2 linked regions of the Xenopus tropicalis genome follow. The protein of the gene in region 1 purifies or fractionates together with the protein of each later gene. This does not show direct contact. Links are inferred from orthologs where the notes say so. Each region holds a gene or a part of one and is shown on either strand. Other genes may lie near its edges.

Region 1 (3,831 bases):
GCTACCCCCAGACCGTGCCCTTCCTTTACTGCTGTCTGCTCATGGAGAAGATACCAGCAATTATATTAATGCTGTCCTGACAGATGTATGTTAAAATTGTAAATGTTTCTCTCTTTGAATGTAGTGAAGTTATGACAAAACACATCACCTGGTACTATCTTGTCTTACAGTTATTTCCACATTTCTTTCAGCCTTGTAGATTTCCCTTTTATTGTACTGCTAAAAGTTCCCAGGTTTTCATCCATACTCCTCTACGTATTAACTTGTATCATGCTTTTCTGCCACAGCTAATATGGTTTGAAAATTGTTTCTGCAGAGCTATACACGGAGTTCAAATGTGATCATAACTGTGCACCCCCTGCAGAACACAATCACCGACTTCTGGAGACTGGTGTATGATTACGGTTGCAGCACTGTTGTAATGTTAAATCAGCTTAACCAATCCAATTCTGCTTGGGTAAGGGTTTCCCAGGTTCCACTCTATGTAGTTGTTAACACAATCCTTTCTCAAGACATGACATAGAACAATTAAATATATTTTGTTATCAAGGAAATGCAGAGGCTAAAACAGAAAAAGGTAATTTTTCTGTGTGCATCTCCTTAGCATTCATTCTGTCATTTCTCCCTCTTATTTGCCTTCAGGCAACAATATATCCTTTATCACTGCCAACTATGATCCTGGGCACAGTACAATCTTTTTGCTACAATTCAGTGGTTTTCTTAGAATTTCAGCCTCAATGTTCCCACCCCTATATACAAAGCAAAGCTATAATAGAGGCAAAATAAATGCACCCATTTGCAAAGTGTGGGTTGGGCATTGGCATTCACTTACATGTTATTTGGTTATCAGGTTGTAAAAAAACAGTTTAAAGGAAAAGTAACACTAAAATTTGTTGAATAAGCTATTCTACCCTACACCAATAACTGCCCTATCCTGCAAACCCCTTAGTATTTTGAATGCTTTAAAAGAAAACTTGGCTTCCTGTTAATTGAACTAAGGTGATACGGCGAAGAAGGAGCAGCAATCACTATGCGACGATCGATTCATCGAGTCTAGCCTTCCTTCTGTATAGGAAGGAGTCAGGCTAGACTCGATCAATCGATCCTCGCATAGTTGATGCCTGCTCCTTCCTTCGCCGTATCTCCTTAGTTCAATTGACAGGAAGCCACAGGAAGCCAAGTTTTAACAGGTATTTTCTTTTAAAGCATTCAAAATACTAAGGGGTTTGCTGGATAGGGCAGTTATTGGTGCAGGGTAGAATAGCTTTTTCATTTAAAAAATGTCAGTGTTACTTTTCCTTTAAGCGCTTCACAATGTAAATACTGGCACAAAGAATGTATTCACATTAAATAGATAACAGAAAATTCGCAAACACTCTATAGCTTTTTTAAATCACACAATTTGGAAATATTTTTGTAGATAGTAACGTTCCCACAAGTTGTAAGTGAAGATTCCTATCCTTTCATTTAAATCAACCCTAGGGCATAACCATCAGATCAATCCGATATCACCCACCTCAAGGTGGGCATATGGGGGAAAGATCCGTTCATTTGGTGACCTCGCCAAACGAGCTGATTTTTCAGTGTATGGCCAGCTTTACTGTCCAGCCATATGAGTGTATATGGTCACTTTGGCAGACAGATTGGGCAGAATTTTGCAATTCCATTGGATTTCAGTCAGTATTTCCAGCTACCTTTCACTTCAGTTAAGATCTGCTCAGTCCAAATGAACAAAAAAGAAATAAGATTGGATATTATACATGTGTTCAGACTGGTGTGTATGGCTACTTTTAACACTGGAGATTTCTGCTTATCTTTCTCTTTGCTCTTGTATTTGATGTCTCCTCCATTACATTTTACACCTTTCATTTAATAAATACCAGTGTCTGTAGGCAAACATTATCAATGTCTTCCAGCTTTGTGTCACACTATTACTACCTTTTTTAATTACACAGCCCTGTCTTCAGTACTGGCCAGACAGTGGGATATGCCGATATGGGCCCATGGAAGTACAGTTTGTATCAGGGTCAGTGGAAGAGGATGTTGTTACTCGTGTATTCCGTGTGCAAAATATCGCAAGGGTAAGTGCTTGACTTGATAGCCTAAAATACAAGTAGATGATCCAGTCATGATCCAGTCAATCTGGAAGTTGTAGATTTAATGACACCCATAAGAGGATGTTTTCAAATAATCTCTATCCAATAATTTCAGTTAGTTAACTTTTACTGATAGTGTTTACTGAAGTGTATCAATGAACACGGAGTATTGGTGTGATATAGACTTTGCAGATTTATGTTTTACAATAACTGACTAATGACATGTAAGTGGTCAAAACAGGCGTGAGCCACCTTTACCACAGTAGTGGTCAGAAATTGGCCCAGGTACTTTTGCAGGGGTAGCAGATTCCACAGGACAAGTTACTTGCGCCCAGATAGCAAACTTCCTGTTCTTCACAGGAGGTTAGGCTCTTTTAATATAGGAGAATGCCCGCTGAGCTGCCTTTATTTATATGCCCATCCAGCCTCTGACATCACAGAGGGAGCGGGGCAGACACGTGTCTATAAATACAGCTGTCAGAGATGGAAGAGGGGCACAGTTAGGTCATGGGTGGGGAAGGAGGCTGGCAACCGCCTGCAACAGGATATTGGCTGTGCATGTTGGTGGCCCACACATCACTAGTCCCCAACCTTTTTTACTTGTGAGATATATTTAAATATAATAAAGATGGGGAGCAACACAAGGATTTAAAAAGATCCTAGGCGGTGACTAATTAGGGCTGTAAATGGTTGGAGGAGGCTCTGTTTGGAAGTACAACTTACCTTTAAGTCAGAAATTCTAAAAATAAGCACCTACTTTAAAACTACTCTAAACCATTGAACCTGGCCCTCTCCCTCCACCCCTAATTTGTCTTTGTTTTGTTTCTAACGTTTCCTGCTGGTTGCTGCAGGATGAGCATCTTATGGTGAAACATTTCCAGTACCTTCGTTGGTCTCCGTACAGAGAAACACCAGACAGCAAGAGATCCTTCCTACAACTTCTGTCACTAGTGGAACAGTGGCAGGAACAGAACAGAGAGCACAGGACACTAGTACATTGCTTGTAAGTATTGGCACTAATATGTGTAGAATTAAGAGATATGACCAATTATTTCATTGCAATACGTATTAATTTAAATCAGAAGGGAAGTTGAAGGATTCAAAGAAATGCTAGAAATAGAGTCTATTATATAAATGTAAAGAAAGAATAAATTAGGAGTGACATGTTGCTTCTACAGTGCAGAAACTGTGATTGATATATGCCAGATATGATGATCATACTGGATTAGGTGTATGACTCTTATGCTAGGGTCAGAAATGACTGTGAAGAATCTGAGTGAGCATTAGGAATCTCTGTAAAAGTACCTTTACAGTTTCATGTACTAGGGGTAGACACAATAGGGTTGACTCACTAAAGTGCGATAAGCGTTATCACATGCTTTTTGTGTTAAAATTGATGCAAAAAAAAAATGCGCGATTCGCTAAAGTATTATCGCATCCGTTAAGTCTCATATCGCGTGCGTTAAATAGCGCACAACCAAATTCGTTAATTTTACATATTAATTAGCGTGCAGAAATAATACTAACGCATGATTCACAAACACCATTAGTCTGTGCGAAAATTTACACCTACTTGGGGCAGGCGGTAATTATAGAAAAGTACAGTTCATGAGCTTTTGGCAACACAATATGGACTTTGCTGTGTGATTTATTCAAGTATGTGTTGGCCCTAGAGTGATGCATCCTCCAGTTTGCAGGGAAATGGTCATTTTCAGAACAGAAGTTTTCCAAAAGT
Region 2 (3,831 bases), on another chromosome or scaffold:
AACCTTAGCTTCTCAGCAAGCTGCTCCTCTTTATATTTATTTTGCCTCTGCAGTTCAATGTCATTCTCATGTAGTTGCTGCTGGCGGAGAATATGCTCTTTGAGCCTCTGTTGGTGCAGTAGATCCTGTTGCTCTTTGAGGTGCCTAGCTTCCTCCATTTGCCGTGCTGCTAGTTGCTGCTGCTCCAGCTGCTCCTCATAGGCAGATTTGTACTTGCTGTGAGGCTTGAGTGTTGGGTCCCTCTATCACAACATATAGGAACAAGAAAGACAAGGTTACATACAACCTACATACCCGCAATGGCACAGGAACATTAAATACAGGCAGTGCATATCCATTCCATGTTCTAACTGTATAGTTGGAACAATACAGTTTTTGGAGAAAACCAAGCATGTTTGACAAGGTTCAGTTTCACATAATCCTTTCAGTTTCACTTTAATCCTATTCAGCTAAGCCAAAAACAGAAGATGCATTTATGTAGATTGGAAAAAAAAAAAACTAAAATTTATGCTTGAGCTTTTATTGGGCCTGCAAATATGGTGCTATATAAAGGAAAAAATATTGGCAGACACACAAGGCCATAGAATATATACATATTTATTTAGTATCCATACTTTTATAACACATTGCATGGCATGAATACTTTACAGTAGGGCACAGCTCTACTAAACATTATATACACAGTCATAATGAGAAGTACACTACATTCATACTGAACACTAGAATACTCAAGTTTATTCCTCCTTTAAGTTTCTCCTTTAATATGGAGCACAATTTAGTTGCCTTACATTGCTGTGTGCTACAGTGTCACAAACTATCTTTGAAACGTAGCTCTCATTGTTTTGGAAGGATTAAATCATACCAGCCATCACATGCTTTCAGACATGCGATAACATATTGTCTAAAGATTTTTATGAATTCACAGTAATTATCTCACCTCAGTATGTTTATTTCCTTGCATATTGTTGGTCTCCTCTTCCTTTTGCTCCTCGTTATTTCCTTCCAATGCATCGTCCTCTTCTGGTTTGTGTTGTTCCTGTTCCTCTTGCACTTGATCCTGTTCTTCAACCAAACGTTCTGGCTTTCCAACCTGTTCCATTTCTTCTTCCTCCAGTTCTTTTTTGTGTTCCTCTTCTACTTCAACAGGATGCTCAGTAGCAGCCTCTGCCTCTGGCAATGGCACAGTGTCTTCATCTGGCTTGTCAAGATTTGTTTTTACTCTGTTCAGATGTACAGCTTCATCATTGGCAGCAGTGCTTGACCTGATGATGATATCATGATCCACTACTTGGCGAGTCTGAACATTTGTCTGCAGACATAAAAGATACAGCACCCTCTTTAAATGACAGTTTTTCGATATGCAAACTCTCCAGAAGAGTAATTCAAAGCTATAGCAATCAAACATACAAGTTCCTTACAAATACTGACTGAAATAGGAGGTAAAGAGAGCCTGCTTATTAGAGCTTGCAATCACTCAGATTATCAAATGCTGACTTCAATGTTTTAATAAAGTAAATTTTGTTTCTATTTACCATCTGTGAGAAATTATAGGTGACAAAACACTGCATTTGGGTATAATGAAAAATTAAGTACCCCCTGTTCCAAAATATAAGGATATTAGAAATTACCTCAGAGTTACATGACCTGTATAAAAGCACTCAGCCTTCGGCTTCATGTTTTTATATGGTCATGGAACTCCTAGGTGACTGACAATTATTCTTATATTTTACAATTAGGGGTACTTTATTCACAATATAAATATCTAAATTATCTATATATATCAGACACACACATATATAATAATTTAGCCTTAAAACAGTCTTAACCAGATCAGACTCTGCTCAGAGCTTACCATAAGCTCTTGTTCTGTGGCGTGTTCCTGAGTGGGTGCAATGGTCGGTGAATTATTTCGTCCTATTGGTACAGTGTCCTTTTCTGGTTGGCGTAGGCTTGACATTTTATTGAGCGCTTTTTTTAACTGCACATACTCTTCTACCTGGCTCTGAGAAACATACAGAAACAGAAAGTATGCCCTTTATACATAACAGTAAATTTCATTTGGAACAGAATTCGATATCATAACTTTTAAACAACTGATTGCATAGCCAGGCAAACAAAGCAACAGACAGTGTACAGAAAAATAGAAAAAGTAGAAAAATGGATATTTCTGGAATTAAAAGCCCCAGGAAAAAGAAATGTTTAGGGAACAATAAGTACTGCAGACAGATTTTTTTAGCTTTCAGGCAAAGTACCAAAGGAACAACTGTCAAATGGATTTCTTAAGTTAGGATTTATGGGAAATAAATTAAAGTCATGTAATCCTACAGACGGGTGCGGGGAAGTTAAATCTTCTTCAAATCTTGGCAGATTGCAAATTGACATAAAGTCAAAAGGTGACAGAGTCTGATATTGTCTTTAGCATTCTGGTCAGGCCTCAGCAGTCAAAGCAAAAATAAAACCAAAAGGCATTTCTATTCCCACAAATGACTAAAGAAGCTAGGTAATGTAATGCAACTATGCACGTGCACATACACACCTTGGAGTTGCCCCTTTGTACTCATTAAGGGTGCCAAAAATCTAGTACAGGTAATATAAAATATGTTTTAAGTCTGCAACTGCTTGCGTACAGGATATCTGTGTGACTGGTTTGCTAAATTTGCCATTTATGGTTGTACCCCACATGGCAAGTACATTGTACATATAAAATGTGTATGTGATGATCTGTATTTTCTTATTGTATGTAATGCACTGAAAGAAGTCAATAGTAACATTCACCTGGCATTCATAAACCTAACATAAATAAATTATTTTGATATTTATTTCTTTATGCATATGGAAATTCCATGGCTAACAGAAGGGAGTATGCTCAGACATACTCATCTCAGACATGTCTGTGACGGTTCTTATTCATCTAGATCAGGGATCCCAAACCTTTCTTACTCGTGACCCACATTCGAATATAAAAAGAGTTGGAGAGCAACACAAGCATTCAAAAGGTTCCTGGGGTGCAAAATATGGTCTGTGATTGGTCATAGGTAGCCCCTATGTGAACTCATACCATACAGAAGGCTATGTTTGGTACTACTCGTGGTTTTGATAAAAAGGAATTTAAAAATAAGCACCTTCTTTGCTACTTTGAGGCCACAGGGAGCAACATCCAAGGTAAGCTTGTGAGCCACTGGTTGGGGATCACTGATCTAAATCAGTATATCTATAGTAATAAGTCTGTAGGTTTGTAGAAACAAAGTAGAAAGCAGCAATACTTCAGTCTGCAATGTAAATTTGGTGCTTATCATAATATGTTTTGGGAGCTTAGTCCCTTTTTTAAGTGATCATTTACTGCTGCTTTCTGCTTCATTTCTACATTGAGTTTTGCATTTGCTATTGCATTCTGGATGGTGTGTGTGCCGTATACCTACTAGTGACTAAGTCTCAGAGACAACACCGATACCTGTTTTTTTTTTTTCATACCATCTGTGGTCTTACCCCTAAGCCACAGGTTCTAAAAGATTTGTTAGCAAGAGTTTTTGGAAGACCGATGCATTCAAATGTCTAGTTTGACACTAACGTAGGGTAACTAAAAGTGGAATGAGGGAAATAACTGTTGATTATTATCAGTGGGATGTGCTAAAGTTATAGCTCAACAGGGAGAGTATCAAGAGCTCATTGCTTCCCACTGACAACAAGGTTATCTGTTAAGTCACTGAGATTTGCCACAAGGAAATTTTTAGAGATCATGCAGGGTGTGTGGTCACACTTAAATTAGAACCGGACAACAGCTTAAAGACTATATTCTAGAAAAAGCCAGAGGCAAAAATCTGCTTAAGCTCT

The links.
Region 2: the proteins of ptpru (region 1) and golim4 purify together in Homo sapiens (affinity purification with mass spectrometry; 3 studies listed by BioGRID and IntAct, counting the BioPlex papers as one, with this or other methods). This does not show direct contact. The link is inferred for Xenopus tropicalis from reciprocal best matches to the Homo sapiens genes PTPRU and GOLIM4.

What each region holds. Positions count from the first base shown.
Region 1 is NC_030678.2:83,217,262-83,221,092, reverse strand, and holds part of ptpru (receptor-type tyrosine-protein phosphatase U), read left to right. Parts: coding exon 1-85; intron 86-316; coding exon 317-457; intron 458-1,955; coding exon 1,956-2,081; intron 2,082-2,947; coding exon 2,948-3,099; intron 3,100-3,831.
Region 2 is NC_030681.2:112,719,584-112,723,414, reverse strand, and holds part of golim4 (Golgi integral membrane protein 4), read right to left. Parts: intron 2,003-3,831; coding exon 1,853-2,002; intron 1,310-1,852; coding exon 938-1,309; intron 243-937; coding exon 4-242; intron 1-3. UniProt on the Homo sapiens protein: Plays a role in endosome to Golgi protein trafficking; mediates protein transport along the late endosome-bypass pathway from the early endosome to the Golgi.